Linked DNA regions of Anolis sagrei. The protein of the gene in region 2 purifies or fractionates together with the protein of the main gene of each other region. This does not show direct contact. Links are inferred from orthologs where the notes say so. Each region holds a gene or a part of one and is shown on either strand. Other genes may lie near its edges. The genes, in order: PAN2, TNRC6C and CNOT10.

What was found.
Region 1: the proteins of TNRC6C (region 2) and PAN2 purify together in Homo sapiens (affinity purification with western blotting; 3 studies listed by BioGRID and IntAct, with this or other methods). This does not show direct contact. The link is inferred for Anolis sagrei from reciprocal best matches to the Homo sapiens genes TNRC6C and PAN2.
Region 3: the proteins of TNRC6C (region 2) and CNOT10 purify together in Homo sapiens (co-immunoprecipitation; 3 studies listed by BioGRID and IntAct, with this or other methods). This does not show direct contact. The link is inferred for Anolis sagrei from reciprocal best matches to the Homo sapiens genes TNRC6C and CNOT10.

Annotation. Positions count from the first base shown.
Region 1 is NC_090022.1:138,615,221-138,625,862, reverse strand, and holds the start of PAN2 (PAN2-PAN3 deadenylation complex catalytic subunit PAN2), read left to right. Parts: upstream 1-5,517; 5' UTR 5,518-5,645; intron 5,646-10,642. UniProt on the Homo sapiens protein: Catalytic subunit of the poly(A)-nuclease (PAN) deadenylation complex, one of two cytoplasmic mRNA deadenylases involved in general and miRNA-mediated mRNA turnover.
Region 2 is NC_090022.1:121,165,472-121,176,133, reverse strand, and holds the start of TNRC6C (trinucleotide repeat-containing gene 6C protein), read left to right. Parts: upstream 1-6,200; 5' UTR 6,201-6,235; coding exon 6,236-6,289; intron 6,290-10,662. UniProt on the Homo sapiens protein: Plays a role in RNA-mediated gene silencing by micro-RNAs (miRNAs). Required for miRNA-dependent translational repression of complementary mRNAs by argonaute family proteins.
Region 3 is NC_090026.1:81,512,919-81,523,214, reverse strand, and holds the start of CNOT10 (CCR4-NOT transcription complex subunit 10), read left to right. Parts: upstream 1-6,164; 5' UTR 6,165-6,391; coding exon 6,392-6,413; intron 6,414-8,506; coding exon 8,507-8,601; intron 8,602-10,051; coding exon 10,052-10,213; intron 10,214-10,296. UniProt on the Homo sapiens protein: Component of the CCR4-NOT complex which is one of the major cellular mRNA deadenylases and is linked to various cellular processes including bulk mRNA degradation, miRNA-mediated repression, translational repression during translational initiation and general transcription regulation.

The DNA.
Region 1 (10,642 bases), about 17 Mb from region 2:
CTACTCGGGTTGTAACAAGAGCGTGGACCACCGTGGCCAAGTCTGACTTCCCAAGGGCCTGGGGGCCCTTCCAAACAGCCATATAACCCAGAATATCAAGGCAGATAATTCACAATATCTGATTTGAACTGGATTATCTGACTCCACACTGCCATATAATGCACTTAAATGTGGATTTTATATAACTGTGTGGAAGGGACCTGAGTTATTTTTAAAGATTACTAAGGACAAAATTAAGGGGGGACCAGGTCAATGCATAGAGGCCCCTTCTACACTGCTATATAAAATCCTGATGATCTCCTTTGAACTGGATTATATGACAGTGTAGAAGGGGTGTGAGTCTAGTATTTTCATAAAAAATACCGACAGTTGAAAAGAGTGGGAGAAGAAAAAAAATGGGATACAGAGAAGTGGAATGGCAGAGACCTTGAAGAAGCACTCCAAACTAAAATATTTTGGTGCAGGTTCCTTCCATTTACCTACCTAGGATGAAATGCAGTAAAACACTGCAGTTAAGTAAAAATGTGTGTATGTACATGTGTGTAGATACTTACATACACACAGGCATGTAAGTAGAAAAGCAGATTATGCACAGTAAATAATCTTATTGGTAGATATAGGTGCAGTCTCATATTTGGAAAGAAAATCATCTTCAGTACACTTTAAAGGACAAAATGCGGCCCTCCTGAAAGTTTGGGACCAATACAAGGAGAGAATGTACCCAAAAACACCGCTATGGCTCTCCACCTTGGAGGCTCATCAAAGGAGAGAAATAGGCTGGAGAATATGGCCCACGTATAAAGACCTCCTTGTCAAGGTTGGAAAGGAAGTAAGAATGAAATCATTAGAAGAGTTAAGAGAAAAATATAACAACCTCACTTGGCTCCAATACTGGCAATTGAAAGAGTATTTTGCAAAAGACAGACAAATAGGTCTCACGGAAAGCCTATCCGCTTGGGATAGATTAATAGAAAACCCAAGAAAATTTATCACCAAAGCTTATGGGCTACTACTTGAATGGTCTACAGAGGAGGAGAGAATTAAAGAATATATGGTTAAATGGGCAAGATTGATAGGGAGAACAATATCCCTAGAAGAATGGAACACCATCTGGATCGTAAAAACAAACTACTCATATGCCTATGAGATCAAAGAACACTGGATTAAAATGGTACACCAGTGGTATCTAACGCCCTCCAAGATTGCCAAATTTTCAAAGAACATGTGTAATAAATGTTGGAAATGCGGGTTAGAGGAGGGAACCTACAAACACATGTGGTGGACCTGTGTGAAAGTAAAAGCTTACTGGAAAACAATCCAAGAAAACTGCCAAAAAATATTAAGAAAAAACATCCCACTAAATCCAGAGATATTTTTATTGGGTTTAACAGGGAAAACATGGGACAAAGGGACTGATAAGCTATTTGTCTACCTGGTCACGGCGGCTCGTATACTTCTCGCCAAAGTTTGGAGAAAAGAGGAAATTCCATTGGAGGCAGATTGGATTAATAAAATAGTAGATATAAGGAACATGGATCATTTATCATACATTCTTTCAACTACACGAAATATACCAATAGCAGAGACAAACTGGACACCGGTTGAGGAATGGTTGGAGGGGAAAAAGCTAAAACTATAAATGGGTTAATACCACCACCACCCCCCACAGCCATAGCCCTAACTGTCATACACTGTTGGTAAATACATAGACCTAAATATAGAGCATAGTCGTTCCTAAGTGAATCGCCCCGCAAACCAAAAGATTCGATGCAAATATCCAGATAAAACCTCTGTTTTTATACTTAACAACATTCTAAAGAACAAATCAATACAGATCATGAAAAGGAGCAAGATAATAATAATAATAAAAAAAATTTAACTAGAAACTGGGAATCTTGAGAGAAAAACGAACCGAGAGCGAGAAATAAAGAGAAATGATGCACGAAAGTTCTTAAAGTAAGAAGGACACTGTTTAACAAACCTATACTAGAACCAAACAGCAGAGAAAATACATACACTTTAATTTACAAACGTAGACCGTAAACGAAAACCAAGAGAGGATCTACTAGAGTGGGAGAGAGGAGGTCCGGCCAACTGAGGTTGGCCAATTTTTAACGTATTTGTTTATTCGTACTTGTACCTTGTTTGTACTGTGTTGTGTCGGTAATTAGCTGTTTGTATGTGCAGTCGTATTTGTGTGTCTTTTTAATGTCATAAAATAAAAACTTAATAAAAAAAAAAAAAAAGGACAAAATGAGAACCAAGTTTGGATTTCCCTCCACTTGTTTTTTTCCCCTAACCCACAAATAAATGTCTTAGTAGTTTCAGGTATATGTGGGCTGAAGGTTTAGTAATCATTGTTTACAAAGTTGTATCACTGAATGTTAACCTATATTTTTACATATTTATGATCAACTGGGGTGTGGAAAATACTACTCAGTAACACAACAATAGGTTGGCTTAAGTATAGCACACCAGGTAGAAAATTCCTACTGGACTGCATCATTACACATTACATAGTGTAAGGGATGTCACAAACTGGAAATCACTCTTAGGGTAATTCCATCAAGACATATCTGCTACTTCAACAGACCTTGATAAACTGTTGCCTGCAAGACAGTCTGCACACTTGTACGTATATGAAAATAACTGTAAATATATGTCTTCATCCTACTTTCCCTGGCTGCTGCATTACATTTCTCTCCTGGGCCCCTTCCACACAGCTGAATAAAACCCCACATTATCTGCTTTGAACTGGAATATGTGGCAGTGTGGACTCAGATAACCCAGTTCAAAACAGATAATGCGGGATTTTCTACCTTGATATTTTGGGTTATATGGCTGTGTGGAAGGGCCCCCAGTGTGTGGTCAGTCTTCTCTGGACAGATCCCTAACATTATATCTTGGGTTATCAACATTTCTGCCTAAGGGTTTTCTTCTGGAGCAGAAATGGGCAGAGTCCCCTCAAGGTTGTAAAAAACCAATTTTCTTTGTTTCAAAATGTGCTATAGGGGTGTGAAGGGCATTTTCACTATGTTTTGGGGTTCTTGGACCAATTTAGGCCCAGTAAAGACCTTTTTATTTTTGAAAAAAGACCTAAACAGGGATTTGTTCCCATTCACTTTTTCTCCTTAGCCTTAAATGGTCTGGGAAGAGCCATATAAATATGGCAAAATGTGCCCTTGACCTCTTTCATGTTGCATAGTTTGAAAACTTGAATATTTATTTCATTTATTATTATTTATATGCTGCTTTTTCTTTCTTAAAAGAGGCTCAAAGAAACCAACAATATTATAAATACACAAGTGTAAAAGCTTGAATTTCTTTTCACTTCCACGAGGAACATTCTTCATTTTAGAGAGGTGATACAGATAATTGTTTCTAGAATAGAGAAGGAAAAGGACAACCGATTAAAACATTGTATGATAGAATCTGGAAAGTATGATTTCATTGTTGTTCTATGCCTTCAAGTCATTTCTGACTTATGGCAATCCTAAGGCAAGGTTTTCTGGGGCTGTGTGTGTAACTTGCCTAGGATAATCTGAAAGGTTTCAATGGAGCAAGCTTGTTTTCTGCTTCCTTGGAGACTAGGACGCGGAATAATGGCTTCAAACTACAAGAGGGGAGATTCCATCTGAACACGAGGAAGAACTTCCTGACTGTGAGAGCCGTTCAGCAGTGGAACTCACTGCCCCGGAGTGTGGTGGAAGCTCCTTCTTTGGAAGCTTTTAAGCAGAGGCTGGATGGCCATCTGTCAGGGGTGATTTGAATGCAATATTCCTGCTTCTTGGCAGAGGGTTGGACTGGAAGGCCCATGAGGTCTCTTCCAACTCTTTGATTCTATGATAAATACACAAGTGTAAAAGCTTGAATTTCTTTTCACTTCCACGAGGAATATTCTTCATACTAGAGAGAAGGTGACACAGATAATTGTTTCTAGAATGATTAGAGAAGGAAAAGGACAACCGATTAAAACATTGTATGATAGAATCTGGAAAGTATGATTTCATTGTTGTTCTATGCCTTCAAGTCATTTCTGACTTATGGCAATCCTAAGGCAAGGTTTTCTGGGGCTGTGTGTGTAACTTGCCCAGGATAATCTGAAAGGTTTCAATGTATTGTCGAAGGCTTTCATGGCCGGAATCACTGGGTTGTTGAAGGTTTCTTCGGACTGTATGGCCATGGTCTAGATCAGGGGTCCTCAAACTACGGCCCGGGGGCCGAATATGGCCCTCCAAGGCAATTTACCCGGCCCTTGCTCAGGGTCAACCTAGGTCTGAAACAACTTTAAAGAACACAACAACAACAACAAAAACAACAATCCTTTCTCATCAGCCAAAAGCAGGCCCACACTTCCCATTGAAATACTAATAACGTTATATTTGTTAAAAATTTTCTTCATATTAATTATTGTATTGTTTTTAAGTGGGGTTTTTTGCACTACAAGTAAGATATGTGCATTGTGCATAGGAGTTCATTCATGCTTTTTTCAAATTATAATCCGGCCCTCCAACAGTTTGAGGAACTGTGACCTGGCCCTCTGTTTAAAAAGTTTGTGGACCCCTAACCTAGAGACATTCTCTCCTAACGTTTCGCCTGCATCTATGGCAAGCATCCTCAGAGGTAGTGAGGTCTGTTAGAACCAGGGAAAGGGGACTTATATATCTGTGGAATGACCAGGGTGGGACAAAGGACTCTTTTCTGCTGGAGCTAGGTGTGAATGTTTCAACTGACCACCTTGATTAGCATACAATGGGCTGACTGAAAGGTTTCCATTGGCAGAGAAGGAAATCAAACTCTGGTTTCCGAAGCTGTAATCCAAGGCTCAAGCCACTGCTTCAGACAACGTACACAGGCTGCAAACTTCCGACTTACAAATGACTCATAGATAAGAACAGGGTGAGCCAACAGAAAGCGAGAGAAATCTACCCCTCGAAAAGGAAATTCATTCCTGAAAGAGTTGTTATTGTGGAGAAAAGGTGGAGGCTTTTCACCAATCCCTTGTTTCCAAAACATGCCAAATTTTTCAAAAGCTAACTGTCACAGGGACAGAACATGAGGTGACATCTTCTGAACAGGGAGCCAGGCAGCAAAACCAAACCGGCAGGGGTGTTTATACACTTCCCTAGGCTATACCCTTCTGGCCCCGTTGCGCAAAAGGAAACTGGCTGCGCATCCCTCCAGGTGGCTGCCCTGCGCTGATTCACGGGGAGGGAAAGGACGAGTTCCTTGTTTGGAGAGAACAACAAGCCGTGAAGAAACCCTAAGAGGGGGCCGAGGGGCTGAAAGGGCACTCGCTGATTGGTCGCCGCGCAAACTAGGCCGCCGCCCTCCTTCGTGATTTGTAAACGAGCCACGCGGCGAGCTTCACTTCCCCTTTCAACCTCATAAGCATTACAAACAACACCCGCCAAGCTTTTTGTCCCTTTCAGAATCCCGTCCTTCAGTTAGTCACGTAGCGCCGCTCGTGTAAAATGTAAGGTCTGCTCTGATTGGATGCCTTCCCACAAGGCGCTCAGGGATTGGTCGGAATCAGCCCCCCTTGTTGCTGAGCTACGCCGAAGGAGCGGGAGATGGAACGAAGAGGGCTGGGGTTGCCATAGCGGCGGTCGCGGCTGGGAAACCGGAAGAGCAAAGGATTGTGGGTAACCCCTCTCTTCTTCCTGACAATGGCCTGCGGATTGTTGGCAGGGGAGCGGGAGCCCAGTGGTTTTTCATGGGCGTTCTTGAGAGCCAGAACGTGTGGCCTATTTTGGTCCAAAACAACCGCCAGTTTTAAGGATGGAGCCACTGGTTCCGGGGATGTTGCCCGCCACCTCACTTCCTCTTCCCTCGTCGGGGTCAGGGACAGGCCTTTGTGGGAACCATAGGCCTTTGCTCCGAAATGCTTCCAAAATGGTTTAGAGCAGTGGTTCTCAACCTGTGGGTCCCCAGGTGTTTTGGCTTTCAACTCCCAGAAATCCTAACAGCTGGCAAACTGGCTGGGATTTCTGGGAATTGTAGGCCAAAACCTGGGGAGCCGCAGGCTGAGAACCACTGGTTTAGAGGATGTTGGGGCATTTCACCCACCTCTGGCGGCTCCATTTTAAAAAATGCCCTCAAATGCTATGCAGAGTAATTCTATTACATTTTGAGAGTTATGCCTTTTTGAGCCGTTTTGGAAAAAGGAAATAACTCACTTCATTTTGTCCCACAGCATTTGAGAGCAAATCTTTTTTTATGGGAGTTAGGGCAATGGGGGAAAGCCTTCCGTGTTTTCTGGGGTGGGTGGGGGGAGTAATGTGTCTCCCAAGTTTCCAGTTGCCCAACCCCACTCTTTAGCACATTTCATAACAGTAACACAGTTTTGCCACTCTTTTGATTTAGTATCTTGCTATGTTCTTGAGGGATAACAATTGTCAAGGAAACCAAAATGGTTATGCCATTGATGTAACCCATGACTAATCTGGGCAACGCTGAGAAAGGTTACTTTCTTGAGTTACAACTCACATAATTTTGTCGTAATTTGGCCTGTGATTTTACTAACTGAGGTTTGGGGGAAATAGAGAAAAAATAGCATTTGCTTTCTCTGGATCAGGAGTGCTGATCAAACCTGTAACTTTTGTAGGGCATAGCCCCTTTAATGTGGGCGTTATTACAATTAAAATGGGGCTGTCCAGTTGATTAATTCACCACAAACTAGGAAAACCCTAATTTGTTACTTGATTTATTCCACAGCTTCTTGGAAGGCGCTGGATAAACCCATTACTTCTGGTGTCTGGACTGTAGTCCAGACAGTATTCCCACGGTTTTCCAGGCTAAGTTAGCCTGGAAAACTGAGAATACCAACCCCCTCCCCAAAAGACCCCCAAAACAGTGTAAAAAAACCCAAGCAAAATAACTTACCCGGCCTCCATTAGAGGGCTGCCAAGTCTCTCCTGGCGCAAACAAATGATGCACCAGGAGAAGGAGGAGAGGAAGATAGCTCTCCTCCCCTTTCTCCTGGTGCATCATTTGTACATGCCAGGAGAGCTCCAGCAGTCATTTGAACTCATTACTACTGAGTCTAAGGGCCCTTCCACACAGCCATATAACCCAAAATATCTAGGCAGAAAATCCCACAATACTTGATTTGAAATGGGGCTCCTTCCACACAGCTGATTAAAATCCTACATTATCTGCTTTGAACTGGAATATATGGCAATGTGGACTCAGATAACCCTGTTGAAAGCAGATATTGTGGAATTTTCTGCCTTGATATTTTGGGTTATTTATTTATTTACTGTATTTGTATACTGCTTTTCTCAGCCCTCAGGCAACTCAAGGTGGTTTACAGGCAACAATTTGATGCACACAATATCAGAAATACAATTAAAAACATTAATATGTAATATAAAACCACAACAAATCAATAAAACAAAAATCATTAGCGTCTCCTTGTTTAAACATTGTCCAGTCCATCATCTAGTCGTTTCATTTTCCATGTCAGTTACTCTGCATTTGCAAACGCTTGCTCAAAAAGCCACGTCTTGACTTTTTTCCAAAATGTTAATAGGGAGGGGGCCGATCTGATATCCCTAGGGAGGGCGTTCCATAGTCGAGGGGCCACCACTGAGAAGGCCCTATCTCTCGTCCCCGCCAGATGTGCTTGTGACAAAGGCAGGATCAAGAGCAAGGCCTCCCTAGATGGTCTTAAGGTCATAGATCAGGGGTCCTCAAACTTTTTAAAAAGCGGACCAGATTACTGTCCCCCAGACCATTGGAGGGCGGACTATAGTTAAAAAAAAAACGATGACAAAATTCCTATGCACACTGCACATATCTTATTTTGCTATTGTTATTAATCGTAATGTAAATATCTGATATGCAGGATGTATTTTTATTGTTACAATCTGAACATAAAGCATAGTGATTAATCACAAAAACAATATGTAATTATACATTGTGAAATATTTATTTCTCATTACAAATAAATGAAATTTTGATTTCAAGCATGTCACAGCATAGGTAATAGTCTTAATATAACAACAGGGGATCCATGAATATGTTTACTGATTAGCCTATCTGCCAAACTCCCATCACCAACAGAAAATACTGGAAAGGCTTGGGGAAAATAGACTTTAGCATTTGAGAGTTGCTGGGATGAATAGTTCCCCTGCCAACCAAGAGCATTCTGAACTCCAACAATGAAATTGAACCAAACTCAGCTTACAGTGAGAACAAACCTACATAACTTGTTTGTAAGTTGGGGACTGCCTGTACAAGTTGGGTCACAGGGGTAACAGATACTACTGTACAGAAGAATAATACCTGGCAGAGTCAATGAAAGATTAAATGCCTCTGATCTTGAATGCTAAGCAGGGCCAGTTCTGGTTAGAATTTGGATGGGAAGCCACAAATGAATAGCAGGTGCTATATTTCAGAGAAAGAAACTGACAAAACTATTTTTGAGTATTTCCTCTCAAAGAAAACATTAAATTCATGGGGCCGCCAGAAATAAAAGGAGACCTGAAGGCACATACATGCACACACACCCAACGATGGGCTGCTGAAAGCAATATAGGAATACATAGAAAAATATAGCTTTAGCATTTCTGAAGATAAAATAGTTCCAATGAGAATGAGGAAAAAATTCTATTTTCTGCCTTATAAAGTGGATTTTGGAATATGTAAGCATGAATTATATTTCATTTCAAAGTTTAAAAGATCTTTGCACGAGGCCAGGCTGCACGGTGCAACTTACCTGCCTCGCACTGCCCCTCATGCGAGCCGGGTGCTGCTGTGGTGCGCGCAGCCTGGTGTTGTGCAAAGTCCCTTGCCAGGCCCAATCCCCTCACCTGCCTCGCGGTGCCCGTCGGGCCTGGCAAGCAATGGAAGCAGTGAGGGCTTTGCGTGAGAACAGGCCGTGTGGTGTTGCCTCCCTTGCCTCTCGCATGAGGGGCAGTGCGAAGCAGATAAATTGCACTGCATGGCCTGGCCTAAATTTAGCGAAGCCCTTATTTATTTATTTATTTATTTATTTACAGTTCTTATATTCCGCCCTTCTCACCCCGCAGGGGACTCAGGGCGGATTACAGTCAACACATATATGGCAACCATTCAATGCCAGTTTTGACAAACAACGTTTAACACACAAATACACCAAGGCTATTTAACTTTTTTTCTGGCCGCCAGGGGAGCTGCTGCTTTTCGTCGTCTATCAGTGACACCAATGAAGTTCTTCCGCATTCCACATTCCCCGGAATCTTTTTTCTTTATGGCCTCATAAATTAGTTAAATTTAGCCTCCCACACAAGGTGGTGCCTTATTTTCCTACTTGACAGATGCAACTGTCTTTCGGGTTGCAAAGGTCGACAACGGGCTACACAATGGCTGGACACCCACTCCAGCCCGGGCTGGCTTCGAACTCATGACCTTTTGGTCAGAGTGATCTTAATGCAGCTGACACTCAGCCAGCTGCGCCACAATCCCGGTCCTTACCGCTTCCATTGCTTGCCAGGCCCGACGGGCGATGCAAGGCAGGCGAGTGTATTGGGCTTGGCAAGCGGCAAGGGGTTTTGTGTGAGGCCAGGCCGTGCAGTGCAACTTACCTACCTCACGCTGCCCATCGTGTGAGCCAGGCAAGGGAGGCTGCACCGCGTGGCCTGGCCTCGCGCAAAGCCCTTTGCCGCTTGCCAGGCCCAATCCCCTCACATGCCTTGCGCTGCCTGTCGGGCCTGGCAAGCAATGGAAGCACTGAGGGCTTTGCGCGAGAACAGGCCGCGTGGTGTAGCCTCCCTTGCCCAGCTTGCACGAAGGGCAGTGCGAGACAGATAAGTTGCGCCGCGCGGCCTGGCTTCGCACAAAGCCCCTCGCCGCTTGTCAGGCCCAATCTTCTCACCTGCCTCACGCTGCTTGTCGGGCCTGGCAAGGGAGGCTGCACCTCCTTTGCCTGGCTCGCACAACGGGCAGCACGAGGAAGGCAAGTTGCACCGTGCAGCCTGGCCTCGAGCGAAGCCCGTTGCTGCTTTCTTTGCTTGCCAGGCCTGACGAGTGGCGTGAAGCAGGCAAGGGGATTGGGTCTAGCAAGTGGCGAGGGGCTTTGTACGAGGCCAGGGCAGGCCGCACGGGCCGGATAAATGCCCTCAGCAGGCCACATGTGGCCCGCGGGCCGTAGTTTGAGGACCCCTGTCCTAGATGGTTCATAAGGGGAGATTCGTTCAGACTGATAAGTTATATGGCTGTGTGGAAAGGCCCTTAGTCTCCAGGGCAGCATAAGCAAGCCTGCTCCCTCTTCCTTATGACATAATTTCACATATTTATATATGGCTATCTTATCTTGTCTCAGCCTTCTCTTCTGCAGGTTAAACATACCCTATTAGCTGAAGGCATAGTATTGGGGTTTATCTCTTTATCAAAGAAGAAAAGGAGTATAACTTCAGACTAGTATTCATATAATAGGCCAAAGATTTGGCAAGTCCTGACACATGTTCATATGGTAGCAAAAATTCTGTGGATTAAATTACGTAGTGTTTTTAGGATTCCAGGTTTAGAAGGTCAAAGCAATTTTGCTCTTCCTCTTTTGCGGGTTACATTTCCAGTATAGGTTCTGTCGATGACGAAATAAATGATGTGTGGTTACTGGAAACTAACTTTAGGAAGCAATTTCCAAGACTTGATAGAT
Region 2 (10,662 bases):
GGAGACTTAACCTGTGTGAATGACCTTGCTGGAAACTTATTGTACTTACTTTGCAGTTTGAGGCTAGGAAAAGCTTGAAAACAGAAGCAGGAATGAATTTTCCCCTGTTTTAACCAACTTCCACAGTTCTCATTGCTATTAGAGTAAGGTGGGCACCACTTTGTTTGCTATTCTTTGTTTGCTTCTGACCTAGATAATCCTTAGGAGCCTATCTTCTATGGGCCTTGAGAGCGTGCATCTCAAGCCAGGTGCCTTATATGTTCAGTGATAGGGATTTAGTTTGACTGCAACCAAACGGATAAACTGTGTAAAATTAGTTTGGAATCCAAATTTGACTGTGGTATGTCCCAGATCCCATCAGTGAAATGGACTAGACTGCTTCTCTGCTGTATACCATCTGCTGCGTCTCCCTTGAAGAACTCTAGAACTATAACCAATTCTGGGACAAGACAGGTATAATTCCTTGTTTTACAAAAAGGCCATGACCTCCCTTTCCTTTGGTATACAGGCTGTGCCCAAGTTATGAACAAGATTGATCCTGTAGATTTGTTCTTAAGTTACATTTGTATGTAACTCGGAACAGGCACATTTTAAAGTATAATGTCATTCATAGATAGATAGATAGATAGATAGATAGAGCTTTAGCTAGCATAGGGAAGGGTTAATACCCCTGTGGTGTCTGTGCCACTGTTCAGAAGATTTCACTTCCTTTCCTGTCCCTGTGGTATTTGGATTTTAAACAATTTGGCTTGTTGTGGAAACAAGGATTGGTGAGAAAGGTTAAGTGGAGACATATTTTCCCCATGATAATAAGTCTTTAAGGAGTGAATTTGCCTTCCTAGGGTTAATTTCCCTCACTTCCTGCGGTTTCACCCCAGTTCTTAACTAAGAGCCATATGTATGTCAGATGTCTGTATGTCCATGAACTAGGGATAGGATAGGCATAGTAAATTAGCATATTTCTCTAAAGTATTTTATGGTAAAATTAAACTTGTTCAAACTTGTACAAACTACCTGTTACAATAATGATATATTCCAGTGAGATGAAACAATAATTAGATTTACTGTTGAATGTTTCTTTGTGCCTTTTTCAATTGTATAGCCATCTTGTAACTGACTATTCTGAGCTTGCTCAGGTGCAACCTTGAAAAGAGAACACTTCTGCTTTTTGATACCTAATATAACTTTACATCTTTCACTGTTGAAGTCAATTTTCCTCATTTAGAAGTCTGACAGGACCACCCAAGATTTGCTGTCTGCATGCCACACAGCTTTAAAAGATGTGTTTTTTGCTGACATTCATCTAACACATGTGAATTAATATGTATGGTGTGATCAAAGACATATGGCATAGACGAGTATAACAAAGGTGAGAAATGGAGACAAATTTTCCTCAGTGGACTATATACCCCACCAACATTGTGCCTGAATACCTCAAGTTTTGTGCATGTCCTTCCCAAAATGATGACAGGAAATGATGTCACCAAATGAGGTTTCTGTGGGTGTGGGTGGGCTTTTGGCAATTGGTACATGTTGGAGGCTTTGTGTGTCTTTTTTTGGGGAGGGGGGGGAGCGTGATACAACAGTAGGATCTATGGGCCTCATTGGTCATAGGACTTCTTCACATGGGTTATTTTTTGGTGGTCTATGACAGGTGTTCAGCAGTTCAGCCATAGACCCCGATGGCTCTCACCATACCCTGGAGAAGTACTTCTGGGATGGCTCCAGGGCTGAACTGCTGCCAAAACCCTGCCTCAAAAACCCTGTCGCTGGTGGTGGTCCACAGGAGGCTTCCCATCTTTCCATTGGGAAAGATGGTTGAGCCAACTTAAGAAGGCTTCCCCATATGTGCTGAGGTAGGGGGGAAGCCAGGACAATGTGGGGCATGTCAGGTATTTTCCTCTGCCTCAGTAGAGTACTGGAAGCACCCCCAAGCCATGAGTCAGCTGGGTCCTAGAGTCCTTGAGCAATGCAGGAAACTTCACTGTGCAATAATAATAATAGAAGTCCTTTCACTGCAGTATGCAGGAAAGCTTTATCTTCACTTGCTTCAGAAGACAAAGCTATATACACAATATACACACTCTCTATCTCAGCTCTTTGCCCCATCCACAGCTCCATTGTCCTACAACAGACTATGCTGAGCACATAGGAGGTATCTGCTTTTTTTTACTCTCCCCCATGAGTCACTAGCTCAGTCACCTGACTGTGCTAATAAATAATAATAATAATAATAATAATAATAATAATAATAATACATTTTATTTGTACCCTGCCATCATCTCCCCAAAGGGACTTGGGGGCGGCTCAAATAAACAATATTTGGGGCAATTGTAATCTCACAAACATGATAATAACATGAGATTACCGCACACACCTACAATATTGCATAATAAAATATTAAAATTTGTAAAATGCAGTCATGACTGTGGATAAAACTGGTTGTTTTCAATTAATTAATTTACAGAGTGCCTAGGCCTAGACATGAGTGACTCTGCATTTTGCAATGTGGCCAAGTCTAAAGGCCTCAGTACCTTACCATTTTAATTATGACATTTATTTTTTAAACCATGACAGGGTGCAAGACAACAGGTTGCCATGCGCCCTGGATGAGTGCTGCTGGTATCACTGCAATCTGCGGTGATCCAGGGAGATTACGGTGGTGCATGTGAGAAGGTCCTAATAGAAAGAATAGCAAGTTTAAGTGATGCTTGCCTTCTTTCCACTGTATTCTAGATTTATAATTATAATGTATTCCTCTCATAAATCATGCAAACATAGTTCACAGTCAATATGCAGCATAAACGTATTCAGGTTTACTCTGAAATAAATTTGCTAGGTTCAGTCGGTCTTATTTCCAAATAAGCATTATAGGATTGCAGCTTTAAAATTCACACATAAAAGTATCTGTAATGCCCTGTATTTATTTGTAAATAAGTTTCAGATCTTAATCAAGATGACATTGGCAAAGAACAAAATAGCACTCTCCTGTTTCTTTGTGCAAAAGTTGGATTGACAGGTGAATCTTTCCTCAGCGTTGATAGTGAGACATAAACGTTTGCACACTGCTATCTGGGCTAGCTTTCACAGTAGACCTAGTGAAATATGCAAATATATGGATTCAATCTAAATAAAACAACAACTGGTCAAATATATTAAATAAATATTGTAATGGGAGTATCAACCATCTTTCTCTAGCAAAGCCACAGTATTCTCTCCCACAACCAAACCATAGCCTCCAGAATCCTGGAGGTAACAGAATCCATTTTCTTGGGGCTTTTAAAGGCCTCAAATGTATTCTGCCACCTGGTCATGACATATTAATGAGGCAGTGAGAACAAAGGATTGGATTCAAGGGACAAAAACATGGAAAGTTCAGAGAGGAAGGAGTAAGTCAAGAGAAAATGAATGCATTCCATTTTGTTTGAGAAGGCAGACTGAAGTTGGAGGAGGAACTTCAAAAACATGATGGAACTGGAATACAAACAAAAAGCAACAGATTCATGCTGCAGGGCAGCAAGCTTACATGAAGAAGAATTAAAGATGACCAGATAGGGAGAGCTGTTGGCTAGCAAGCCATTAAAACTTTGAATAAATAAATAAAGGGAAGGAGGGAGGGAGGGAAGAAGGAAGGAAGGAAAAGTAGCTGGGTGACTAGTGAAAATTGCCATCTCTACAGGATTTGAGATACTGGGCAAACCACATCTGGTAAAGAAGCATTAAGTACAGCTAATCCTCTCTGTAAAACTTCTTGGTAGCCACAATGAAGTTTATTGATATTTTATACTTATAATGTATTGTATATATATCCAGAAACATTTCTGTGCTATTACACATTTACGTTACCCAGTTTTCACAGTTATATGGAAGCAATGGAACACTTGATAATTACGGCATAGACCTATCTCCTTCCTTAGACCAAGAACCATTCCCTTTCACAAAAATGTGTATCTTTCTATGTAATGATGGTCACATCTCTTCCCCCCCCCCCCCCCAAATTAATACATTCTATCAATACATGAGGCTAAGACAGTGCGACTTGCCCAAGATCACCCAGTACAGGGTCCCCAAACAGAGGCCTGAGGACTGGATGCGGCCCACCGAGATCATTTACCCAGTCCCTGCCCTAAACTTTAGACTTAGGGTAACCCTAAGTCTGAAATGACATGAAGTCACACAACAACAATCCTAATTAACTTGACTATCACATCAACCAAAAGTAAGCCCACACTTCCCATTGTAATGCTGGTAATTATACTTTATTTTAAATATTGTATTGTTCTTTCATGATTTTTTTACTACAAATAAGATATGTTCAGTGTGCATAGGAATTCGTTCATTTTTTCCCCAACCTATAGTCCACCTCCTCCAGTGGTCTGAGGGACCATCAATTGTCCCTCTACTTAAAAAGTACTTCGCAACCATAAATATATATTTCAGACAGTATGACATTTGTTTATAACATATATGGCATGCTCTAGACATGGTTCACAATTGAACCACATAAGTTGGGAGCTATCATAAGGGGCACTTTTTGGATATTGACTACTTACATTTGTTGCTATCTCTACAAGTAATTATTTGGTTACACTTAGAATCATGTAATGTTGTCAGTGCTGGTGGAGGGTAGGATATATTTTACTGTTTTATTAAGTCTTACCCTTTCTGGGCTCCGCTTCCAGCTGCTGGTGTGCCGTCTCCCAGATCCCACCACTCTCACCGCTTTAAAATAGCGCACGGTCGGCTGTTATCCCAGTTCCCAGTTCCCTGGGACCGGGTCCCCTGCAGCAAGCCGCAGCTCCCAGCCTCCTCTCGTCCGGGTCTTTGGTGAGTCTCCTTGAGGGGGACCCACTCTTAGACCGTCGGTTCGAGGTGCTATGGAGATAGCGTCTCTTGGACACTCGATCCGGTCCAAGGGTTGAGGGTTACACCCCCTCTGCTTGCAGCTTAAGGGTTGGCTCTCGGGAGAGTCCCCGGAGCCCTGCCAGCTGCCATTGCCGCCCAACCGGAAGTCATAAGGGGCACTTTTTGGATATTGACTACTTACATTTGTTGCTATCTCTACAAGTAATTATTTGGTTACACTTAGAATCATGTAATGTTGTCAGTGCTGGTGGAGGGTAGGATATATTTTACTGTTTTATTAAGTAAACTCCTAATACGTTTTTTAAAAACCTACATAGCCAAACAAAGAGTTCCCAAACTTGCTGTGATCAAAATAAAGATCCTAGTAAAGTTTTGGATTTGATCTGGCAACTCTGTTGTGTGCCTTCTAAGCAAACTTTTGGAAATTCTTTTTTTTTTTAGAATATAAAATAAGTATTTAAAATTAATTTTGAAAAACTTTATGTTTTAATTTAAATTATAGTTCTCTTGGATTTTGCAAAACTTCTTCCTGCTTGTTAGGGATATAGCATGATTTAGATAAGAAGACTCAAAGTATTAACACAAGAAGATCCAGTGGGCTGAACTATTCAGAAGCATTTGAGCTTAGCATTCTTTGTAACTGATCCCCAAAGAGTAAAAGATCCTATGTTTAATGAAACCATATGTAGAAACAGGAGGAGGTCAGAAAGTTATGGCAACACTTGGAATTGATTTTTAGTTTGAGTTACCTGATCACAATCAGGAAGGAAGAACTGTCACAAACCTGATTTATTATATCATACAACAGATGGTTATGAATGGGAAAACTTTTAGAAATCTGTTTTACATTTGTTATATATCCAATTAAGAAAAAATGTAATGTAAAATAATGTGGGTTGATATGATGATCAAATGGGGAAGAAGTGAGGAATCTACATCACCATGATGTAGGGAAGCGAGGGTATAAGTGTAATTGACAAATTCCTAGGTAGAGAAGGATTTTTCTCCCACAGAGCATCTTTGGAAGGTTTTCAGTGCAATCAATCAATCATACAATTAATTAATTATGCAATTAAATCATATTTATTTGGTTTGTTATAATTTTGTTCAGTGCCAGATATGAGGAAAAGTGTTTATGGGATTTTTCCCCTCCTTGTATGCCCAAAGAATTTGGCTCGCTTTGAGGATCTTGCAACCCAGATGACTGGGGAGGGCAGGTTATCGGTTCTTCTGCCTTAGGCAGCAACATGTTGTGCACTAGGCCTTTGGTAAATTGATGTGTCCTTCCTTGTTTAAACTGACCGTCACATGTTCCTCATGCAGAGATGCCGCTGATCTCCAGAAGAGTCTTCAGGGAGGATGGGCTTGAATGGCTTTTCATGGGAAGGTCAGCATCAAAGATTCTGCAGTCCAACCTAGCCAGGTAAGACAATAGCTTGCACAAAGAGCGATTGCAGGCCAGGGTTGTCTTTTGTTTTTGTCGCAAATGCTGAGTACTGAGATACTATGGAGAATGAGTGTCATAACTCTGAGCTGTACAATTTCTACAACAAAGAATATCTAACAGTGGTGTTCACAAAATTTATAGCTAACATTTGGTTTAGCTCCTCCTTCCATTTTGTACCAATTTGTTGATTGTAATCCTAGCTGGTTTTCTCAGGTATTGTCTTTTACAGCTAGGACAATATGCATTAAATTTTGGAAACTTTAGTACTTCCTAATGACATTTTTTATGATGTAATGATTTATATGCATGTTTGTGGTATTCAGCTGTAAAAATGTACCATTGTAAGTAGACACATAATGTATACCCAGCGTGCTTTCATTTATCAGAGATCCCCTGGGAGGCATCCAAGATGTATGAATAACCAGATGTTTGCAGGAGAAAATGGGGTGCTTAATGCAAAGTTACTTGGAAAGACTAAAATAAAACAAAACACCCCTTAGGTATCTAAATGACTTAGACAACTGAGACCTAGAAAACTGTAGGTTCAGATTTATTTGACACACAATATTTGAAATGTTTACCAGACACATAGAATTTTTTTTATTTTATGACTTGGTCATAAGTGTGATTTTCAGAACTTAGAAGTATGGAAACTGAATGCACATAACACAAACCACATGTACCTGTTCCATCTGGCAAATGGAGTGATCGTGAACTTGGTGTTTCTGCTAACCTTTTCTCATTGCATTAAACCACCTTAATAACTGCTTTTTCCTTGCATGATTACTACGCCCTTTCTTTTGAAATTTATGCATATAGGGATTTAAATGCAATAGATGTCCCATGGATAGCACTTAGTTTGGTAAAATGCTATCCAGGACAAGGAATACCTATATCATTTGGGGCCAGTGAGCCAAAACCTGGAGCCAGTGGTCTCTCTGGGAGAAATTTCTAGAGTTGCGTGTTAAATCAAATTTCCATTTATATATGATGTGTTTCCAGAACTTAGAAAATTACTTTTAAGGAGACCCAGGGTATTATCCTTCAGTTATGTATGGCTCCAGTATGTCATTATAATCCATAATGTACTATATTAAATAAATACTTATGAATGAATAACTTCATTTTGTCTCCAGTCCAGATTCCAAAACCCCACTCTAAATGCTAGCAGCCACATGGAGAAATGGGTGCCTGTTCTCTTAAAAATCAGGGTACAGCATGATGACATTTCTCAGCTCCCTTCCACCAATGATTTGCTGTGCAATGAGGACCCTACTTTTTATTGTCACAGCGTTGATTGCGGTAGGAGGGAGATAGAAACATCATCTTGCTCTAGCCGGCTTACCACAACAACAGACTTTCAATCACTCTTTGTGGGTGATGGCTCTTTTGTTTTCCTTGCACCCCACTTCAAATGATATTCAAGGTATGTTTGGATGGACATTTGCAGTCATGGCAGTAGCACCACAATTGTGAATGTGAAACATGGCTAAATATGGAGCAGATACAGATCTGTAACTTTAGGTTACAAATCCATAACTGAAATGTAGGCTGCCAGTCATTGTTCTTAAAAGTAACTTCCCAAGCCCTGATTCTTTTTCTGGATTAGAATCAGATCCAAGGATCATCTAGAACAGTGGTGTCCAACCTTTGGTCCCTCAGATGTTCTGGACTTCACTTCCCAAAATTCCTGATCACTACACAAGCTGGCCAGAGCTTCTGGGAGTTAGAGTCCCAAACACCTGGAGGGCACCACTAATCTACAGCAACATGATGGTGACCAGCCACATAATCCAAGGACAGTCACGAAGGTATCCTCATACTTATTGATAATAATCTGATCATCCCTAGCCCAGTATATCCGCTATGTGCATTATTCATAACTGAGCAATGGTACCTTAGGATAAGAGACAATGCTTTGAAAGTAAGAAAACAAAGTTGTGTTAATCAAGAAAAAAATCCAAAATGTACAGCGAGTCTAAATATTTGTAAAACTGTGGGCAAGCTTTCCGGAACCCCAGATCTCTTCATAGAATAAGTTGTAAAAAGCAGAGAAAGGCTAACTGAATACAGATTTCTTGAAGTCTGTATGGTCAGATTCTCAAGATGGAATGTAGTAGATGGCACAGACTTCAAGGGACTCCTTCTAGTAGCTTTTGTACCTAATTACAGTAAGTGCCATTGGGACAATGAGCAGCATGATTGAATTTTCTCTTTATTTTTAAAAAGATAAACTTGAGTAGTTACCGGGATATGACTTTTGCCTTAGGCAACATGCACAGAAAGGTAAGTCAAGCAGTTGTTTTTAGCAAGACAGCCTCTTCAGAAAGCAAGCAAACTATTTAAAGAGAATGCTCAGGGAGCCATCTTGTGGTTGATATTCAACATGAGTGAAAGACTGCTTTGCTTGGTCACTTTTCGGGGGTAGCTACTGGCTTGCATTTCACAAAAGCTTGTACTGGATGAAATGTACAAAATTACAAGGCACTTTGTTGTTTTGCCCAATCTGCATCTGCTCAGGTCTGGGAAAAGATAACAAGAATTTTGAAGCACACTGGGGGTTTTAAAAAATGTGTTCACTCTTTTTCAGAAGTTATTTCTAAAGTAGACTAAGGCCCCATTTCCACTTATTATTTAATGCAGCTTCACTTCCAAATGAATGCTACACTGTGGATTAAAGGGGTTACAGCATATTTTTAAAATTCACAGAAAAGTCTGAGATAAGCCCTTGAATATATTGCAGAAGATGACAATATATCCCAAATCGCAGGGTGAAGCGCATCTTTAATAAAAAGGTGATTGAATAATGATCAAATGATGTCAAAAAGATTATAGTCTTGATTTAATCTGACTTTTGAACTTTTCAGTTGGTATGCTCATAATTATCCCTTTGTGGCATCTACATCGATGCCAGAAATGCATATGCATGTCATTAGGCAATTAACAATGATCAATAATAAACTCTCTGCCTGTATTAGTTTGGGCAGATCATTGTGGGATGTACATACACATAAACAATCTCACAGAAAGAGAGAGAAAATATATATAAAGCAGTTGTCCTTACTCATGAAACCGAAGAGATCTATTGGTTAGTATCAAAAACTTCCTGTCTGGAGGTGCTCAGGGTTACGAAAAGACTTGTATCTCAAATAAATAGAGGACATCCAATCATGGAAGCATTTCATCATTGCAGAAGGTAGGAAGGTAACCCCTGGGAATACTCCCTAATTGCCTCTCACTCCCATCTCATTTTACATGATCTGACATAATACAAGGAAAGAGCTATTCTCAACAGTATCCCAGATCTATAGTCTATTTAGTAGCTTTATGGGTAAGTGACATCAAAACATCAAGCAGAAGGTTTGTTCAAGGACTTACATCCTTTCATTTTTCTATTTCTGAAGTGAAAGTGCTTGAAATGATTACATAACAAAACAACAACAACAATAAATACTTAAAAAACAAACAAGTCAATTAAATAGGAAAAAGCAATATACCAAATGCAGCGGCTATGGGCAAAGATGAGAAAGATTGCTGTAGTTTTAAATATGATTATGCCCCAGGTAAATTTAAAAGCTCCTTGAACTTCAGTCAGCAGTGGAACATCAGTAAAGAGTTGGGAAAAAATATAACTTAACAGGACAGGATGTTTTACATACTGTGTGTTACAATGGAAAAGTCCCTCTCCTGGGTATCTACCAATCATACCAGAAATTGGAGGAATGTGCTAGAAGGATTTCAATTATTAGTAATATGAAGTCATATGGAGATAGACTGTCTTTAGTATTGTGGTCAAAAAGTGGGATGAGATAGGATTAATCAGAATTGTCACTACTCAGGATGGTGGTTGAATACCTATCAGCTGACAAGCAAAGCAATTGGAGGAACGGAAAATAAGGCAGTGTTTTCTGTCGACACAGAGATCCTTAAAAACACAAATTTTATAAGTTGGTATAGAAAAGAACCAAGGTTGTTGATATATATATATATATATTCTCCATGATGTCTTCGTGGGAACTATCAGCTTCTAAGGCATACCACATATTGTGGTGTCATTTGTTGAGAAGAAAAAGGGGTGGGTGGAGTTGTGCAAAGAGAAGAAGAAATTGCTCTGTTAAATCATTCCACTTAAACTTCATCACATAGTATGTGTGTAGAGGAAAGAGATTTGTATGTGTAAAGAATATGTGTGAAGAATGTCACCTTAAGGTTAAGATAATACTCTCCTTGCTTTAGGAAATCTCTTTAACATCCACCACAAGGTGGCTTCTCCACTCTCCATCACCTTTTCCCGGGAATACAGGAAGCTACTTTATGCTGCTGTTGTCCTTATATGTGCCTTCAAGTTA
Region 3 (10,296 bases), on a different chromosome or scaffold from region 2:
AAGACTTGGTTTGGTGTAAAATTATTGTGGCTGGTATATTAAAATACAGTTTATTAAAAAATAATTAGATGCACTTAAAAAATACTTCTTAATAGAGGTACAAGCCTTGAACATACATAAGGAACACATAAAAGCAGGCTCTGTTGTTTTGCCAATTTATGAGATTTAATAATCAATAAAAACAAGATAAATTATTTTGTCTCTATTTGACCTTCATAATTTCAAGCAGTCATTCCTTTTCAGAAAAAGAACTATAAAAGAAAATCAAGACTGGGAATTACAATGATGTCACACTGGTCATTAGTGCTTCTCAGCCATCTGATGTGGGGGAACAGGAATCCCCACCCCCACCCCCACCCCCACCCCAATGTGCCAAGAATTAGTATCATATTAGTGCCCTCTAGCACAATACATCTCACTATTGTACATAGTCTTACATAAAAGACTACATACTATATAGTTTAATAACAATGTCAGAGAATGTCTTCAACAATTTAATCATCATCCTAGTAGAAAATATTTCACAGTCCTTTCTATCTAATCTTTCTTTCAGGTAGATGATTTTTGGGTGTCATGGAAAATGGTTAGTTGTTTGCATTGTTATTGCAGTTTTTCTACCAGAAATGGGAGACCTGCTTGTGGAATTTACTGACTTATGCATCAAAATAACTTAGGCAGCTTTGAATACTCCTTTAATGAGTAGGAGGCACCATTTGCTGTTCAGCTTCAGGCAGCAAAATATATTGGATCATATCTGCCATTCAATAACTGGCACCATATCATGAACTAATAAGACTAATCCCATGAGAGTGGGATTATTATCAGGATTCAGTTGTGTCATATACTTTTTGAAAGGCAAGACTTGATTGTGGAACTCTTGAGTATAGAATAAATGAGAGTACAACTGAGCATGTGCAGAAACCTTGATTGGCTACTAGTATTCATTGTGATACTGAGCATTATCAGGGAGTAGGAAACAAAACTTTCTACTCAGAGGACTGACCAGACATGAGCCTCAATATCTTTAATCTTTAATATGAACAGTCTGAAAATGGGATGCAATTGTTTTAATAATGCAGGGCAACACAGACTTATATTACCCAGATATGTAAGTGATTGATGGAGGTATACTGCTGATTAAATCTTCCAACAAAGTATCATGAATATTATTTCATGATGCTTTTGGTAGTACCAAATTAAGCCCATAGGCCCTTGGTATCTCCACTGGAATTTGGCTTCAAAATCCATGGATGCTCAGGTCCCTACACAGGGGCAGAGTAAAATGATATTCCTAATATAGAGTGACAAAATCAAGATTTACTTTTTGGATTTGTTTTTGAATATTTTCAAGCCATACATGGTAGAATCTATGGATCCATAGTTATGGAGCGCCAACTGTATTCATTTCTCCAGATATTTACAGAATATTGGAAAGGTGACATATGAAATGGGGTGGTTCTACACAGACACTATAATCCAGTTTGGAAGTGGATTCAAACAAGCCGTTTTGTGTCTACACAAACAACCTGGTTCAAGGCTGGGATGGTGGCCTGCTGATTGTGGATCAGAACCTAAACACAGGTAGCACCCATGGCTAAACATCCACCCAAAAATGCAGAGGGTTTTTTGTACTTGGCCTGCTGATGCACATATCCATGTCAGTTTGATATCCGCACTTGACCATAATAAGTGACAAAACATAAAACAAAGGGATGAAAAGCAAGCATTGTCATGGGAATTATGTGGGGGTTTTTTCTCCAAGGGGAGTAATTGTTTACCTTTCAGCCAGCCATGTTTCGGCATCTTTAATGTGCTTCAGCACTAGAGGTGTCCTGACAAGCGCTCCAAATTTTCAGTTCTGGTTTCAAGCCCTGCATGACATATACTCTGATCCAACTGCAGCACATTATCTACCATATTCCAGACTTTCTGGTTAAGTTTTTTAAAACATGCTATTGCAGGCTTGATGCATCCCTGTGGGTGTGTGTGTGTGTGGATTTTGTCGACAACCTGCTCTGGATCCAGCTTTGAATTGCATTATAGGTAGAACTGCCCAGGAGGAGGAGACTTTAATTTTTCCCTTCTTCCCCAACATACAATCCTTATTAAAAGCAATTGAGGAACAATATTAATTATTTAAATTGCCTTATTTCAGTCAGTCCAAATGTACTTGAAATATCAGGGCAGAGTAATTCTCTGAATTGGACATATGGTCAAGAACTGCCTCTTCCAGGGCTATTAGCCGAGCTTTGCCTAAAGCTCCCTTTAAATCTGAGCTGTCTTGTGGTTATGACTGACTACACCCAGGCATTAATTCTGCTTTCTAGCTCAAATGCAGCAGGAATAGATATTTTGTTTCTGTGGGGCTGGATTTCTTCCTTCTCTCCAACACAGGTGTATGCTAGAAAAAGTACGGTGACATGGTATGGTATATCCAAAACCTGGTGTTCCACCCCGCTTTGTACAGCTGGTCTCTAGCAATCTCTAGTGAGATGCCAAACACAAAGCTGCTTTTAGCCAGCATTACTCACTTGACTTTACTAGCCCTGTCACTGATAATTGGATTTGTAACATGGTGAGATGTTTATTTCTTGACTCCCTTTCCCCGCCCTTTTCTCCCACGTGACACATAAATGCAGGAGCTAATGCAAAGCAGAGTTACAATATGAAGTTTCTTAGACATTCTGTATTTACACCTAAACAAATGTGCTTATTCTAGCCGGGGGTGCAGAAGTACAATTAGCTGCCTATATTTGTTGAAATAGAAAGCAGAAGGGATTAACATACAAAGTAATTTCTCATTTAAATTGCATGGTAATTGTTTAGTAGTTCAAAACATACACATCTCTAGCTGGCAAGGATACAAGAGAAGAGCTTTATAGCGACTTCTAGTGGAACTCCCTAGGCAAGGATTTGTTCTGTTTCCGTTCTTTATTCAGAAGCAAAACTTTTAATCACTTTATAATCTCTATATGTACTTATTTTTTCCTTCCTTTTTGTCAATATAGGAACTCAAGGCTGCTGCTGGAAGGGGGGGGGGTGTCTACCTAGTTGGGTGTCTATTATTGTTGTATTTTTATTTCTGTTATTTATTTCGAATGCATATTTTATTATATTTTATATTCTATTTATAACTAACTGGGAGGGGGAGGTGAAAATATGGGAAATGATTTAAATAATAACTAAGAAGTACTATCAGTTCTCCTACATTTGCTATGGTTGAGGGTGCAGGACCCTTATGAAAATGGGAAAATGTGAATTTTTAAATAGTTATTTTTGCTACCCAAGAGAACAACTTGCTCAGAATCTCGAAGTTCTCCAATGCAACTCTATGGTCAGCTTCTGCCAGGATCTAAAGATCATATTAATCAAATCCATGAATAATCAACTCCATAAAAGTTAAATCCACAAATGTGGAGGGACAACTGAACAATTATAAAGCTGAGGTTAGTTGGATCATACTGGTGTCTGGTGACAGGCCCACTTTCTTCTCTGAAATTACTTTTCCTGATCAAGCCTGACTGGAATGGCCATATTTGAAAGATGAAAGGCAAACCAAAGATCATGTGAAAAAGAGGAAAGGACTCCTATATTTTTTATTAGTTATGTGAGAGAGATAATTTTTGAAGCTTGTATGATATCTGCAGAAATCCCATTTCCTATATTACTTTTAAATATATTGTGCATATACTGTTTGTGTTAGATAAGAACAGGGATAGAAACTAAAATAAATTAAGTTGAAATTTTTGTAATGATAAAAGGGTACTTTTTTTAAAATGAAAATTATCCATTTGTGCTGGAATGTCAGCATTAATGTAATTCTTGAGTTAGGTTATTAATTAATAAAATGAGAGGCAATGGTAAGAAGCTGACACATTTTATCTTTCCCAGATGGTTCTTTATTCAAAACCTAATTCTCAAAGATTTTTGCTGTATTCTAGTTCCCCAGGGTTGGGAAGCTATCACTTTTATGTAATTAAATCCATAACACTTGTCTTAGTTTGTGACTGGAAAATGATAGTTAATTCCAAGGTTATAACATTTTAACGCTTTAAGAGCAGCTTTAAAAGGCTTGCATCAGACACCCTATAGAAGCATTGTCCCAAGTGCCACTGTCATCACCCTTCGTCAGGATAGTTAGTGATAAGGAGCTGCAGCTCCACATCTGCAAAGCCAAAGTTCCCCGATCACTGATGTAGGTGAAGGGATACATTTTGTTGCATGAAAATAACATTCTATCCAGAATAAATGTGCTATTCAGAGGACTTTTAAAATTTAAAATGCATACTAACCTGCTGTATAATGCCACCTAGTGGAAAAACACTTTTAACACAACAGAAACACAGCTAAAAACGGTCCAGCAACTGTTTCATGAATCAGCTCTTTCTCTGTGCTTTTTCAGAACCTTAGGGCCCTTCCACACAGCCCTATATCCCAGAATATCAAGGCAGAAACTCCCACAATATCTTCTTTGAACTGGGTTATCTGAGTCCAAACTGCCATATATTCCAGTTCAAAGCAGATATTGTGGTATTTTCTCTCATGATATTCTGGGATATAGGGCTGTGTGGAAGGGCCAACAACAACATGGTACAAGATAGTAGGAAAGATAAGAGGAAGACCACATTTCAGATAGATAGACTCAGATGGATAAAGCTCTAAATGGTTCAGGTCCAGGCTATTTAACTAACCACATCTCCGCAAACAAACCAACATGAATACTGCAGTATATTATACTATATTATTATACAACAATACATATAATACACTACGAGTATTTTATACCATTAGTACTATATAATATATTGTACTGTATCATAAGGTGTATAAGTTAAGGTGAAGGTTTTCCCCTGACATGAAGTCCAGTCATGTCCAACTCTGGGGTGTGGTGCTCATCTCCATTTCTAAGCTGAAGAGTTGGCATTGTCTGTAGACACCTCCAAGGTCATGTGGCCGTCATGACTGCATGAAGCGCTGTTACCTTTCCACCGGACTGTTACCTATTGATCTACTCACATTTGCATGTTTTCGAACTGCTAGGTTGGCAGAAGCTGGGGCTGACAAGGGAAGCTCACACCGCTCCCCAAATTCGAACCTGCGACCTTTTGGTTAGCAAGCTCAGCAGCTCAGCGCTTTAACCCAAATTTGGAGACAATACACTTATCAGGCCAACAAGTGACCATCACTCATAAAAACACTGAAAAACACAGCGACAAAAACAACTCCAACCCCAAAAGGCTGCTAGGAAGGCTGTTAGGAATTGTGGGAGTTGGAGTCCAAAACCCCTGGAGGGCCCAAGTCTGCCCCTACTTGGTCTACACCATGGAATTATTCCACAGCATTAAGCCATGGTAGTTAAAGGGGCCCCATAGGCCATCCAGCCCCACCACTTTTTCAGTAAAGGAAGACACCATCAAAGCCCTTCTGACAGATGGCCATCCAGTTGGAACCCCAAACGCCATCCAGTCCAACCTCATTGGGCGGTAAAGGAAGACACCATCAAACCCTACTCGACAGATGGCCAACCAGTTGGAAGGGCGCCCCAAAGGCCATCTAGTCCAACCCCCTTTGGCCCCTTTAACATGTGTGTCTGTCTGATCATCCATCCATCTACCTACCTATGTTCTATCCATCTACCTTCTGTTCCATTTCTCAATGTCCCTTCCATATGTCTCTATTGTTCCATGCCTGGAATTCCTGTTTTCTGAGGGCCACAGCAACGCCTGGCAGGGGACGGCTAGTATATAATATTACAACATTATTAATATAATATAATATAATCACCCCTCCCTCAATAGGAGGCTTAAGGTTTGATTTAGGTGGAGGATCCATCTACACTGCAGAATTAATTCAGTTTGAGACCACTGTAAGTGCCATGGGCTCACACTACATTTATCTTACAGCGTAGATCAGGCATGGGCAAACTTGGGCCCTCCAGGTCTTTTGGACTCCAACTCCCACAATTCCTAACAGCCTACCGGCTGTTAGGAATTGTGGGAGCTGGAGTCCAAAAGACCGGGAGGGCCCAAGTTTGCTGCTACTTGCTATTCCCAAGTAGGCTGACATCCGGGTCCCTCTTCTCTTTTCCTGTCGGCCGCGCCCACTAAAACTTTGAAAGCTTCTAGCTCCGCCCACTGCAGGTTTTACGCACGTGACGCTCCCTGCGCTGAGAACAGCGAGGAGACGTTCGGGGCTAGAGAAGCTCCCATTCCCCGAACCGGAAGGAGAAGAAGAAGAAGCTCCGGGTCAGGCGCTGAGGGGGAGAAATTGGTTTGTTTGATTCGCGACTCCTCACTTTTCCCTCAGGCGGAGGCTTGTGAGGCGCGGAAGGCCTTGTCGTGGAGTCCGCCCAGGCCGCAGCTACCTCGGGAGCCTTCAGTAGAGCCACCCCATGGCGGCAGACAGAGGCGGAGGTGAGGACAAAGAGGCGAGGCCGGCGAGGGAGGGAAGGAGGCCAGCCCAGGCCCCTTGGCGGGAGGAAGGGTACCTATGACAGGGTTTCCTTCGGTATCTCTCTCCTGGCTTTCTCTCTGGAAATCTCAAGTCAAGGGAATCTCAAGTCTCTTTAAAGCCCTGGTCGCTCAGTTATGTTAGACTCCAGTTCCCAGAATCCCTGATTATTGGCCCAAGCAGCTGGGAGTTGGGAGTCTAAAACAGTTTGGGGATTGGGTTGCTCTGAGTTTTCTAAGCATTATGGCCATGTTCCAGAAGCATTCTCTTCTGACGTTTCACCCACATCCATGGCAGGCATCCTCAGAGATTGAGAGGTCTGTTGGAAACTAGGGGTTTATATAAATGTGGAATGTCCAGGGTGGGAGAAAACTCATGCCTGCTTGAGGCAAGTGTGAATGTTGCAATTGATCACCTTGATTAGTGTTGAATAGCCTCGCAGCTTCAAAGCTTGGCTGCTTCCTGCCTGAGGGAATCCTTTGTTGGGAAGTGATTAGGAGTCCCTCGGTGGCACAATGGATTAAACCAGGGGTCCTCAAACTTTTTAAACAGAGGGCCAGGTCACAGTCGCTCAGACTGTTGGAGGGCCAGATTATAATTTGAAAAAAAAAAACATTAATGAATTCCTATGCACACTGAACATATTATTTATAGTGCAAAAAAAACACATTAAAACAATACAATAATTAAAATGAAAAACAAATTTAACAAATATGAACTTATTAGTATTTCAATGGGAAGTGTGGGCCTGCTTTTGGCTGATGAGACAGGATTGTTGTTGTTGTTGTTGTTGTTGTTGTTGTGTGCTTTCAAGTCATTTCAGACTTATGTTGACTCTGAGCTAGGGCCAGGTAAATGACCTTCGAGGGCCGTATCCAGCCTCCGGGCCTTAGTTTGAAGACCCCTGGATTAAACCCTTGTGCCGGCAGGACTGCTGACCAATAAGTCAGCAGTTCCGAATCCAGGGAGAGTGCAGATGAGCTCCCTCTGTCAGCCCCAGCTCCCTATGTGGGGACATGAGAGAAGCCTCCCACAAGGATGGTAAAACATCAAAACATCCGGGCGTCCCCTGGGCAACGTCCTTGCAGACAGCCCATTCTCTTACACCAGAAGCGACTTGCAGTTTCTCAAGTCACTCCTGAAATGAGGGGGGGAAAAAGCTGTCCTGATTGTTTCTTGTCTGGAATTCCCCTGTTTGTGAGTGCTGTTCTTTATTTATAGTCCTGATTTTAGAATTTTTTTCCAAACTGGTAGACAGATTTTGTTCATTTTCATTGTTTGCTCCTTTCTCTTGAAATAGTCCACATGCTTGTGGATTTCAGTGGCTTCTCAGTGTAGTCTGACATGGTAGTTGTTATAGTGGTCCAGCATTTCTGTGTTCTTTAATAATATTCTGTTTCTAGGTTGGTTGGACACAGCTTGGAGATTTCTCCTTTCAGAGCCTGAGAGAAAGAAGGCAGGGGAAGAAGGAGCTAAAGTTGCAGTGGGGATGGATCTACACACCTAAATAATGCCTATAATGCAGTTCAACTGCATTACAGGCAGTCTCAGAGTTACAAACATCCAACTTAAAAATGACTCATAGTTAAGAACGAGGGTGAGACAGCAGGAAGTAAAAAAAATCTGCACTGCAGAAGGGAAATCCACTCCTGAAAGAGATATCATGGGGGAAAGGTGTCTCCACTGAAGCTCTATCACCAATCCTTGGGCCCTTCAGACAGATCATATATCCCAGGATCTGATCCCAGGTTTTCTGTTTATCCCAGATTATCTGGCAATGGGGACTCATATAATCCAATTTAAAGCAGAAAACCTGGGGTCAGATCCTGGGAATGTAGGATCTGTCTGGAAGGGCCCCTTGTTTCCACAACAAGCCAGATTTTTTCAAAATCCTATTATCACTGGAACAGAAAGTGAAGTAAAAGGGGGGGGGGGGGAGAGTTCCAACTGATATCTTCTCTCTAACAAGAGTAAAAGATTGTCCTTGAAGATCTGCGTTGATTTCTTTCATCTTCTTATATTTCCCTTCTTCTCTTCTCAATTATTTCTTACTTAGATCAAGGAACAGAAAAACATGAAGGAACGGGTATCTCTTCTGGGATTACTGATCAAGAGAAGGAACTATCAAACAGTGCACTGCAAGCATTTACGGTAAGATACGATTCTTCAATTTTGTTATGTTAAACAGAAGGTACATCTGGTTACAAATCTTCTTTTCTGCTTTCAGGAAATACTTTATTTGACATGACAAAAATATGTTTCACTAGGATCCCATCTACACAGCCATATAAAATCCAGATTATCTTCTTTGAATGAGATTACATTAGTCTACATGCCATATAATTCAGTTCAAAGCAGATAATCTAGATTTTATATTGCAGTGTAAATGGGGCCTAAGTGATTGGACTTTTATTATTAATTTCTTTATATGTGTGTGTTACAGATTTTTAATTGTTCTTCTGGAAATTTTTTAGATTAAATTAGAATATTTTATTTCAAAATCAATCTGCATCTTTCTTCCTCTACACTAAATAACAAAAGTACAGTACAAAGAAATCTTATAAATATGCTAACACAATACGGTTTTATGAAAATTAATGGAAGGTTTTATCATAGTCACATGCTGAGTTGCGTATTAATCCAAGAAAAAAATGGGTTTTTCAATGTCTCTCAACTATTAGTTCTTGCTTCTTGGCAGTTACTGTCTTTTCACTTCTGTTTCTGTTGCTAAAATGACATATGCAAAGACAGAAAAATGTTCCATACTTGTGTGCTTATATTTCCTAATAAGTATATTGGTGCTTGTATGTGGTTTAGTTATTACCAAGCTTAACATTCTTTTGCTGAAATGTGTAGTTTGATAACATATAAGGGGTGTTGCATACTGTTTCCTAAGTAAAAATCTAGTCAAATAAGCTTATTTAACATGTATCCTCCCTAACAACAGTAAATCACTGTAGTATAAATTGCCTCAGTTATCAGAATTTTACCATTGATTACGAAATTTGTGAAGAACTATTAGTAGTCAACTTTATTTTTAAATCACGGCTTTTCTTTTATGTCAAACATTATTTGAAATTAATGACCTTGCTTTGCAATTGTATGGAAAAGGTATTTTTCTGTCTCTCCTTTTCTACATTGAATAACATAACATATTGTAAAAAACTCAATTGCTGTATTCCCATGTCATTGGAGTCCCAAAAGATTATGCAACACTAATATTATATTGACCTTCTGCAGAGAACACTGTGGTCAAGGCATACCAAATCTCTAATGCTCTGCACCCAGGAACTCTTGGCTTAGAGCAGAATGGTTTGAGATAATTTTGCCGAACCAAGCGTAGAGGGGTAGTGTTTGGGTACAGACAAGATGTAGCATATATTGATTAAACATGCTTTATTTGGCATCTTTGCTAAATTGGATTTTATGGAAAGCTGTGGTTGAACAGACCAGCAACTGTTCTTCTAAACCTTGTGTTCAAAGGGTGGAGCCACATGTGATCTGCCTTTGTAAGTGTAAATGAACAGCAAGTGCTTTGGGATTCTAATTTTGTTTTTATTTCAACACAGATTTATTCAAATGTTGTAATTTTAACTTATAGATCGGAAACTATGATGTTTGTCTCCAACATCTTAGCTGTTTGCAAGAAATAAACAAGGATGACTACAAAATAGTTTTGAATATGGCAGTAACAGAATTCTGCAAAAGCAATCAGACAACAACCGATAACTTGAAGCAAACACTTAACCAGCTGAAAAACCAGGTATAGTTTTGCAGCATATCTATAATTGCAGTAACCTTTCCCAGTATGTAATTAAAGTTTCTTGTAATGTGCACACACTTCTC